Linked DNA regions of Macaca fascicularis. The protein of the gene in region 2 binds, or shares a complex with, the protein of the main gene of each other region. Links are inferred from orthologs where the notes say so. Each region holds a gene or a part of one and is shown on either strand. Other genes may lie near its edges.

Region 1 (5,936 bases), on a different chromosome or scaffold from region 2:
TCCTATCCGTTTTTTTATTTTGAGACAGAGTCTCGCTCTGTTGCCCAGGCTGGAGTGCTGGAGTGCAGTGGTGCGATCTCAGCTCATCACAACCTTCACCTCCCAGCTTCAAGCAATTCTTCTGCCTCAGCCTCCTGAGTAGCTGGGATTTCAGGCGAGCACCACCACGCCCGGCTAATTTTTGTATTTTTAGTTGAGACAGTGTTTTGCCACGTTAGCCAGACTGGTCTCGTACTCATAACCTTAGGTGATCCACTTGCCTCAGCCTCCCAATAATGCTAGGATTACAGGGGTGAGCCACCATGCCTGGCCCTGATTCTTTGTTAATACCTTTACAAATTCACCACGTTCTGTCATTTGTAATCATTATTTGTGTACCTGTTTATTTCTCATTAGGCCATAAATTACATGAGGACAGCAACCATATAGTTTAAGTTTCTGTCTCCCAGAAAAGTTATCACAGTGCTTTAAATGTTGGCTAAAGCATAAAAATGTTGGCTAAATTCAACATTTGCTTGAGTGAGATGGAACAAGAAAACAGGGGTGGGGGTAGGGGGAGTAACCTCATCAACTTCAATGCTATACATTTTTACATCTATCCAATTTCCCCCATGCATGACCTGAAATACTTGGTGTAGAGTACCTGTTTTGTGCCAGGGAAGCCGCCTTACTAGAAAGAAGGCAGAGCACTGAGGAGGAACCAAGAGCAAGGAGAGGTAGGCACTTTAGGAACTGAGAACTAAAAATAAGCTCTCCATTATTTGCTGTAAACGTTTAATCACTCTCAATGTAAAATTTTCTGTGTGGTTTACAGAGTCAGACAGACCTGTTTGAATCCCATATCTGACAATCATTATTTGACCTTAGTCAAAATGGTTAACCAATCCAAGTCTCAGTTTCTTCATCTGCCAAAAGGGAACAATAAATGTATACTTGATATGGACGTGAGGGTGAAATGAGCTAACGTATGTGAAGCCCCTAGCACAGTGTCTGGCATGATAAAATAGGAGCTGTTCCTCTCCATTGGAATAGTAGAGCAGAACTTGTCCCAACCACGCAGTGCAACACTGTGATGGGAAAACAAAGATAAAGGCAGAACAGAGTTCAACACATTAGGAACATTTCAGGGGAGGTTACCTAGAAGGTCCACTACATTCTTCTCAGGACTAAATCCCTCCTGACTCTTGTCTGCACCCCAATCCTGGAAAACTCACCGTCACCCCATATTTGAGTGCTAGTCCAGCCAGGGTGTCTCCGGGCTCCAACTGATGCTCCAGGCGTCTTTCCCTCACTGGGGAGCAGGCCGATTGCACCAGGCTTCCATATGAACGAGCCCGGCTCCCGTGAAGCAGTCCTGACCCCCCTGGCGGGGGCTGTCTAGACGGGGAAGCCATCTCTTCACCCTGCCGACAGCTAGGTTGCAACTAGGGGAGGCCCGACCGAGACTGCGAGTGACAGGCCTGAAGTCTGGGAATAGATATTCAGGGGATTCCTTTCCCCTTCTCTCTTCCCCTGTGTCCCCGCCTCCCCAGCACTACGCCACCTGCCCCCTCCCGGTTTCTCCTCCCTCCAACTCCTTATCCACAAATCTGTCCCTTGAGTATTCAGTCCCTCCCTGATTCGCCCCTAAGCACCCCTCCGACTTTGAACTCCCCCACAACTCCTCGCTACATTGACCTCTGACCTTTGAACTCTAGAAATAATCCTCAACACTCTTTCCTCAGTTTGCCCCCAAGTAGCCTGGCCTCAGGGCGCTCCCACATCCCAGCTCTGCCCGGTCCCGGGGTTTGTTTGCTAGAGCCAGGAACAAATCAGGCCCACCCCAGGTGAACTGTCGCCGCAGACGAAGAGCGTGAGGATTGCGAGAATTTGTAGTACACCTTCCACTCAGAGATCCTCACAGGTCCGCTCCGCATCAGATAGGTCACACCCTCAAATTTCGGCTCCACATCTAGGTTCTTGTCCCTCTAAACGCCTCAGATCCACCAAGATGCAAGGGCCTGGATCCAGCTGAGCGGCAAGGTCTTTGAGGAAAAGACTTCATTTCCCAAAAGGCGTCGCGTCTGCAGAGTCGCACGGCACCATAGGAAATGCAGTTCCCTCCACGCGCCAGAGAGTGGATATCCGGATGGCGCAATGCATGCGTGGAAGTGCATTCCCGGAAGTACGGGGGCCGACAGGAAGACAAAGAGAAAAGAGAAGGCGCTGTCCCGCTCTTGCTACGGTGGCCTAGAGGAGTGGCGAAACCGGAACAAGAAAATTTATCACTCTGGGACTCACAGTCGTGATGTCTTTCAAGAGGGAAGGAGACGATTGGAGTCAACTCAATGTGCTCAAAGTAAGCGTGAGCGGAGAGGATCTGCAGCCTCTTCAGTCGCTCTCTGAAGGTTGGGAAGGAGCGTTGTTTCATTGCTCTGGCAACAACTCGGGGGTGCAGGAGAGAACCAGGCGACTTAGAGCTGTGTAGTGACTCCTTTTTCGGTCTATGATCGCTGTTCTCCCCAGGGTCCTTATGTCCTTATTCCGTTTGACTCCTCATTTCTGTCATTTAACTTCCATCCCTCTCTCCTATCCTGCTGATCCGTCCGGATTTCTTCCCCTACTCCCTGCAGAAAAGAAGAGTCGGGGACCTCCTCGCCAGTTACATCCCAGAGGATGAGGCGCTGATGCTTCGGGATGGACGGTAAGAGCGAGGAGTGGCTCAAGCCTGAGGGTTTTGCGGTTAGAGGCTCAATAGCTGTGTTGCCCAGGCTGTCCTTGAACTCTAGGGCTCAAGTGATCCTGCCTCCTCAGCGTCGCGATTAGCTGGGATTACAGGCGCACGCCACCACGCCCGGCTTCAACAAACTTTTGTTATTAATTAGGACAGCAGAAGTATCTAGGATTCTTTGGCGGCTAGTGAGGACTGGAAGAAGTGGAGATTGGGTCACCAGGGAGTTGGGTTTTGCAAAGACTGCTAGGACAGGGTGGGACTTACGGCAGGGACAGGCCCAACCCTCTTCCCCTGGACCAGTTATCCTCTTCTCTACCCCTGCTCAGCTTTGCTTGTGCCATCTGCCCCCATCGACCGGTACTGGACACCCTGGCCATGCTGACTGCCCACCGTGCAGGCAAGAAACATCTGTCCAGTAAGTTCGGGGGAAGACAGGGGATGGGGAATAAATCGAAATCTCTGCACACCAGCCTTGGTGCTATGCTTTTAATTCTGTTTCCCTTTCTCTTCAGGCTTGCAGCTTTTCTATGGCAAGAAGCAGCCGGGAAAGGAAAGGAAGCAGAATCCAAGACATCAGAATGAATTGAGGAGGGAAGAAACCAAAGCTGAGGTAATCAGAGAGTGGAGAGTGTGTTCTAGGCAAGACCCTGCTGCACACACCAGGCTGGAAGGGCAGAGGGCTGAAGGCTCTGACTCTGTCTCCCATCTTCTTACCAGGCTCCTCTGCTAACCCAGACACGACTTATCACCCAGAGTGCTCTGCACAGAGCTCCCCACTATAACAGTTGCTGCCGCCGGAAGTACAGGTATGGGAGGGGAAAGCCAGAGGTAGGAAGGCTCGGAAGGAGATAGAGGGCTCTGAAAGTGTTTTCCAGTCTGTATTCTGAGGAATACTAGCGTTCTGGAGATGTTACTTAGTGTTTCAAGAAAAGGAGAATTTTGGCCGGGCACGGTGGCTCACACCGGTAATCCCAGCACTTTTGGAGGCTTAGGCGGTGGATCACTTGAGATCAGGAGTTCAAGACCAGCCTGGCCAACATGGTGAAACCCCGTCTCTACCAAAAATATAAAAAATTAGCTGGGTGTGTGGTGTGTGCCTGTAATCCCAGCCACTCAAGAGGCTGAGGTGGAAGAATTGCTTGAATCCGGGAGGCAGAGGTTGCTGTGAGCCAGGATCATACCACTTCACTCCAGCCTAGGTGACAGAGTGAGACTCCATCTCAAAAGAAAAAGAAAAGGAGAATTTTGTGATTTTTAAATAAAGTTTGGGAAATGGCACTTTGTAATTCTACTTGAAGAGTAACAGTTTTAGGCCGGGCGCAGTGGCTCAAGCCTGTAATCCCAGCACTTTGGGAGGCCGAGACGGGTGGATCGCGAGGTCAGAAGATCGAGACCATCCTGGCTAACACGGTGAAACCCCGTCTCTACTAAAAAATACAAAAAACTAGCCGGGTGAGGTGGCGGGCGCCTGTATCCCAGCTACTCGGGAGGCTGAGGCAGGAGAATGGCGTAAACCCGGGAGGCGGAGCTTGCAGTGAGCTGAGATCTGGCCACTGCACCCCAGCCTGGGTGACAGAGCAAGACTCCATCTCAGAAAAAAAAAAAAAAAAAAAAAGAGTAACAGTTTTAAAAGCTATACAAAGTCTTAAGAATTAAAAAAAAAACTTGTAAAATTTAAAGCTAGCCTTTCCCAAATTCATGATTCTAAAATCCTTTGTATGCAGAACTTACTAATATCTTGAAAAATATAGTTTAAGAAACACTGTTTTAAGAGGTTGGGAGTCATAGGAGAGTTGGCCCTTTCCCTTACTGCTTTTACAGACTATTCTTCTCTACCTAGACCAGAAGCCCCTGGTCCCTCTGTCTCCCTTTCTCCTGTGCCACCCTCAGAGGTCGAACTCCAAAGCGGGAAGATCAGTAGGGAACCTGAACCTGGGGCTGGCCCACAGGCTGAGGAGTCAGCAACTGTCTCAGCCCCTGCACCCATGAGCCCCACAAGAAGACGAGCCCTGGACCATTATCTCACCCTTCGAAGGTGAGTGTGCCTAATCAGTTTCCTCAGATTTTCTTTTCTCTCTGACCCTTCTTGTTTCAAAGCTTTTTTTTTTTTTTTTTTTTTTTGAGACGGAGTCTCGCTCTGTCACCAGGCTGGAGTGCAGTGGTGTGATCTCATCTCAGCTCACTGCAACCTCCGCCTCCCAGGTTCAAGCGATTCCCCTGCCTCAACCTCTCGAGTAGCTGGGATTACAAGCATGTGCCACCATGCCTGGCTTATTTTTTGTATTTTAGTAGAGGCGGGGTTTCACTACGTTGGTGAGGATGGTCTCAATCTCCTGACCTTGTGATCCACCCACCTCGGCCTCCCAAAGTGCTGGGATTACAGGCGTGAGCCACCGTGCCCGCCCCCCAATTTTTTTTTTTTTTTTTTTTGAGACAGAGTTTTGTGTGTTCCCCAGGCTGGAGTGCAATGACACAATCTTGGCTCACCACAACCTCCGCCTCCGGGGTTCAAGCGATTCTCTTGCCTCAGCCTCCCAAGTAGCTGGGATTATAGGCATGCCCAGCTAATTTTATATTTTTAGTAGAGACGGGGTTTCTCCGTGTTGATCAGGCTGATCTTGAACTCCCGACCTCAGGTGATCCACCTGCCTTGGCCTCCCAAAGTGCTAGGATTACAGGCGTGAGCCACCATACCCGGCCTCCTATTGTTGTTTTTTATCTTTGGTTTCGTTTTGTTTTATCCACCCAACTTACATGGCTCTCAATTTTTTCTCACCACTAACTTTTTTTTTTTGGTAGAGACAGGGTTTCACCATGTTGGTCATGCTGGTCTTGAACTCCTGACCTCAAGTGATCCACCCACCTTGGCCTCCCAAAGTGCTGGGATTACAGGTGTGAGCTCACCACTAACTTCTTAATAAGCCTCTTTCCTAATCGATGCTATTTTCTCTGATGTTTCCAGCTCAGGATGGATCCCAGATGGACGAGGTCGATGGGTAAAAGATGAAAATGTTGAGTTTGACTCTGATGAGGAGGAACCACCTGATCTCCCCTTGGACTGACACCCTTTTCCCATTCATTCACAAATACACTGCAATGGGTGCTGAGAACTTAACTTTCCTTAAGTCTGGTTCCTTGTCAGATCTCAGGATTTCAGATCTGTTCATTCTCAATCCAACTACTCCTTTCCTGCCATGTACACAGCTCTCCATACTTTTTTTTT
Region 2 (4,873 bases):
AGGTGTGATCAACACTATTACAGAGACTGTGAGAACACAGATAGTTTCAGGTAATGGATGATAAAATACTATGTTTTTGCCCTTTGCAGGTTCACAAGTTCAGTCTACAATAGCAATGTCCAATACAGTGGTCAGCCACATTTCAAGTACTCAACAGTCACATGAGGCTAGTGTCTATCACACTTGGATAGCTGAGCACAGATACTTTTATCATCCATGGAAGAGGGGGTTAACTATAGCTGCTTCCAAGACAGCAAGGGAGCCGGGTGCGGTGGCTCACGCCTGTGATCCCAGCACTTTGGGAGGCCTAGGTGGGCGGATGCCGAGGTGGGCGGATCACGAGTTCAGGCGATGAAGACCATCCTGGCTAATATGGTGAAACCCCGTCTCTACTAAAAATACAAAAAGTTAGCTGGGCGTGGTGGCAAGCGCCTGTAGTCTCAGCTACGCGGGAGGCTGAGGCAGGGGAATCGCTTGAACCCGGGAGGCGGAGGTTGCAGTGAGCTGAGATCGCGCCATTGCACTCCAGCCTGGACAACAGAGCGAGACTCCGTCTCATAAATAAATAAATAAATAAATAACCCAGACAGCAAGGAACATTTCCCATATGTGAAGCCTGTGGTACTAGCTACCAATTCCCCAAACGCAACCCCTCTCCCCAACACCTTGGCTCCGGTATATTTTGTAGTACAGGCTCCCAAGAGAAAGAATGCATGAAAGTACTTTGTAAACTATTAAGTGATACAGAAATGTGATATGATAAACAGGCTCAGAGTTCTTACTTTCGTCATAGCTTTGGCTACTTCAAGCAAATTATAGCTCTTTTCTCAAACTACTCCCACCCCTATAATTGATGCCAAAGTGTTCTGAAAAGAAACACAGGCAAAATGGTTATCCTAGGGCTAAAAATCCTGATTATACCTACCTTGAGGTTTTTAATCCAGGACCCTACTTCACCACCCGCCTTCTCTGTCACTGTCTCTACAAAGGAAGGACACGAATTAAGACTTCCAAAAGAACAAAATATTTATTATTTAAATTTAAGAATTATCAGACAGCTAAGTAACGGGAATTGGATCCTCATCGGGGTCTTCTGGCAAGTCGGAAGCACCACCACCCTCTCCTGTAGCTCGATGCTTCTCTAGTTTAGCAATCAATTCTTTCGCTGGATTGAAGACGCCATTGGTCTGCTGGTCACAGACATAACAGCGCGGGGTGGTGCGGAAATGCTGCAGTGCACAGCTCTCGCAGAAATAATGCCTGCACTTGGTGACAACTGGGTTTTGGAAGCTCTGGCGACAGATGAAACACTTGAATGGTATTTCCTCATCATCGCTTCCCACTTCATAGTTTTCATCCTCATAGACACCATAGCGACCCTCATCAAGCTCACGTTCGATCTGCCACCCATGCTTGTAATCTGAACGGTCATGGAGGAATTTGCAGCTGTCTCCGAAGCCGCAGAAGCCAGTCTCTTTGTAGTCCTTACAGATGTCGGGCTGGTAATCCCAGCGCACGGTGGCACGTAGATGCTCGGGCGCTCGGATGGGGCCCTTCCTCACCATCCCGGAAGAGGCATTGCCCATAGACGTATCCTTGGGCTTCATGTATTTCTGATAATTGTTGATTCCCCGATAGATCTTGTCATCCTCCTTGCCCCTCAGCTCCTCCTGGATCTTCTGGCTGCGCTCAAAGATGGCTTGTGCATCGCGCTCTTTCTCTGTGTCCAGCTCATAGACAGCTGTCGCCCCCATATCCTCTGGTCCCACGGGTTTCGCCGAGCGGGTGGATTTATAAACCACGCCGAGACTCTCGGGCTCATTTTCCTCCTCCTCCTCGCTGCTCAAGTCGCCGTAAGCTGCCTTCTGTTTACCACTGTCACGAGTCTTCTGTATCATTGGATTGTGAGTCGCCCGCTTCTTTTCCGGTCGAACCACAGTGCAGCCTTCGTCGCTACTGCTGCCGCTGTCTCCGGGCTCTGGGTCGCAGGCCGGGCGCTTTCTGCGTCCAGCAGCCCCTTTCCGCCCAGGCTTTTTGAAAAGGAAGGTGCACACCTGATCCGCCGTCTTCCCTGGAGAAAACTGCTCTGCCATTTTAGAGTCCCGAGCTCCGAAACGGCCGTCGCTGCCTGGGTTGCACTTGGCCTCTGCGCGTTACTCCACGTCGCGCGCTCCGCCGGGAGTCGAAGCAAAAGACACTGACGGAAGAGAACTGCGAGAGCGCGAGCGCCAGCCTCTCTTGAGCCCTGGCAGATCCCGTCGCTTCCTCCGGAGCCGTACGTGGCACCGCCCCGCTCGCGGGCGGCCGCGGGGCTTACTGGGAAGGGAGCCGAAGCCCGGTCACCTTTCAAGGACCCAGAAGTAGGGTTTTGGCCTAGATAACGGGGCAGAGATGTGGTTCGAGATTCTCCCCGGACTCGCCGCCATGGGCGTGTGCTTGCTTATTCCAGGACTGGCTACTGCGTACATCCAGAGGTTCACTAACGGGGGCAAGGTAAGGCGGCTTCCTGGGCCCGGGGGCTGACTCCACTGGCTGATTTCTGAAAAGGATGGTGGGCAGAGAGGCCGTCAGCCTGCGGACCCTCTCTCCGAGGCCGGCCCTCTACTTTCTTCCGGTTGCCTAGAAGCCGAGGCTTGCGAAACGAAGCGCGGTAGAAACCACATCCTGCTCTGGTGAAAAACAGCGTTTCTGGGTGTATCAAAGTGGGCCTTAGGGCAGAGTAGCGACGCGGGGGCCGGAAAGGTAGATTAGAAGAGGTGGCTCAAGCCTGAGAATCCCTCACTGCAACCTCCGCCTTCCGGGTTCAAGAGATTCTCCTGGCTGAGCGCGGTGGCTCACGCCTGTAATCCCAGCACTTTGGGAGACCGAGGCGGGCGGATCACCTGAGGTCGGGAGTTCGATACCAGCCTGACCAACATGGGGAAACCCCATCTCTACTAAAAATACAAAATTAGTGGGGCGTGGTGGCGCATGCCTGTAATCCCAGCTACTCGGGAGGCTGAGGCAGGAGAATCGCTTGAACCCAGGAGGCGGAGGTTGCAGTGAGCCGAGATCGCGACACTGCACTCCAGCCTGGGCAACAAGGGCGAAACTCCGTCTCAAAAAAAAAAAAAAAAATTTTTCCTGCCTCACCCTCCTGAGTAGCCGGGACCACGCCCGGCTATTTATTTATTTATTTTGGTAGAGACGGGGGTTTCATCATGTTGGCGAGGCTGGTCTCGAACTTCTGACCTCAGGTGATCCACCCGCCTTGACCTCCCAAAGTGCTGGGATTACAGGCGTGAGCCGCCGCTCCCGGCCACCCTTGACTTTTTTATTCCCCACTTTCTCTTGCAAGCGTTTAGGAATTTACTGCAAGGTCTTGTGTTTTACATCAGGATTCATTTTCCCCTCTTAGCCCTTCACATCATCTCTAGAGTACAGAGTATAAATTTACTTACTTTTTGAATTTGTGATTGTCCACGTGTGATCTACAGCTGTTGTTTCTTAGTGTCCCAAAAGGCAACAACTAGATATTTCTTTTTTTTTTCTTTTTTTTAAAAAGGAAAAAAAATTCATGTTGGTTAAAATAGTGTAAGAAGTCACGGTCACCAACTTAATCCTAAAGTGTAGTGGTCTGATTTTATTTAGGAGATTCTGTTCTTGTACTACTAATTTGCATTTTTATTTGAATGATGATTCCATTTCTCTAGAATGTCCCTTCTAAAAATTGTAATATCCATCAACTGGGTCACTCACTTTTATAAACTGCAACAATAATTGTCTCTTATTTGAAGGAAAAAAGGATTGCTCATTTTGGGTATCACTGGAATCTGATGGAAAGAGATAGGCGCATCTCTGGAGTTAATCGTCACTATGTGTCAAAGGTAAGAAGCCACTCTGATGCCAGCCTTCTGCCAGGGTTGAGGTGGGTTCTGGTAATGCCTTGCCAAGGGTCATACAATGCTAATATATAACTAGCATTTTCTTGTCTACTAGTGAGGTTGGCATCTTTTTACATATTTAATCTTTTATGTTTCTTATTTTTTTTAGTTTTTCTTACTGTCATATATTTCTTATTCTGTGGATTGTTGCCTATATCCTTTGCCTGTTCTATTGTTTTGTCTTTTTTCTTTTCAATCTATAGTTCTTTATATATTCTAGACTTTTAATTTTTTGTCTATTTTATATATGACAAACATTTTTCCCAGTCTGCTGTTTGTCTTTTTCACTTTATGATGTTTTTCATCAGGTAGTTTTAAATTTTGATATTCAATTTATCATGTTTTGTTGCTCTGCATTCTGAGTTTTTATGTCTCCCATACAAAGGCCTTTTCTACCTAAGGTTATAAAAATACGTTCAAAAAATAAAATAGAGACAGTCTTGCTGTGTTGCCCTGGCTGGCCTCAAACTCATAGGCTCAAGTGATCTTGCCTCAGCCTTCAGAGGAGCTGGGACTACAGGTGTGCCACTATACCTGGCTCATAAAATTAGTTTTAAAAAATAATTTCTCCTAATATTGTTTCTTTAAAAAAAATTAGTTATTTGGTCCCATCTACAGGTCATTTTGGAGTATAATGTGAAGGGAGGATTAACTTTACTTTTTTTCAAGAGGTAGCTAGTTATCGCAATTACCCATTTATAGAACAATTTAGTAGTCCTAGCTACTCAGAAGGCTGAGGCAGGAGGATAGCCTGAGCCCAGGGGTTCGAGGCTGCAGTGTGGTAGGATCGTACCACTGCACTCCAGCCTGGGTGAGAGAATGAGAGCCTGTTTCAAAAAAAAAAAAAACCCCCACCAAACACCCAGTTCATTTTTATTTGTAATACCACTCTGGTATACTAAATTTCCATATACACATGGGCCTGTTTCACAGATGTGCTTTTCTGTACT

Evidence for each region. The genes of interacting proteins can lie anywhere in the genome.
Region 1: RNF113A (region 2) and SCNM1 share a complex: the UniProt entries of both Homo sapiens proteins name them as parts of the minor spliceosome. The link is inferred for Macaca fascicularis from reciprocal best matches to the Homo sapiens genes RNF113A and SCNM1.

The regions. Positions count from the first base shown.
Region 1 is NC_088375.1:110,052,132-110,058,067, reverse strand, and holds the start of SCNM1 (sodium channel modifier 1), read left to right. Parts: upstream 1-2,278; 5' UTR 2,279-2,287; coding exon 2,288-2,338; exon of another isoform or gene 2,339-2,387; intron 2,388-2,612; coding exon 2,613-2,683; intron 2,684-3,039; coding exon 3,040-3,128; intron 3,129-3,225; coding exon 3,226-3,323; intron 3,324-3,430; coding exon 3,431-3,519; intron 3,520-4,534; exon of another isoform or gene 4,535-4,553; coding exon 4,554-4,748; intron 4,749-5,675; coding exon 5,676-5,775; 3' UTR 5,776-5,936. Other genes in the region: LYSMD1 (lysM and putative peptidoglycan-binding domain-containing protein 1), read right to left, coding at 1,215-1,394. UniProt on the Homo sapiens protein: As a component of the minor spliceosome, involved in the splicing of U12-type introns in pre-mRNAs. Plays a role in the regulation of primary cilia length and Hedgehog signaling.
Region 2 is NC_088395.1:126,232,483-126,237,355, forward strand, and holds RNF113A (E3 ubiquitin-protein ligase RNF113A), read right to left. Parts: upstream 2,200-4,873; 5' UTR 2,094-2,199; coding exon 1,059-2,093; 3' UTR 1,002-1,058; downstream 1-1,001. Other genes in the region: NDUFA1 (NADH dehydrogenase [ubiquinone] 1 alpha subcomplex subunit 1), read left to right, coding at 2,392-2,493, 3,777-3,866. UniProt on the Homo sapiens protein: Required for pre-mRNA splicing as component of the spliceosome. As a component of the minor spliceosome, involved in the splicing of U12-type introns in pre-mRNAs. E3 ubiquitin-protein ligase that catalyzes the transfer of ubiquitin onto target proteins.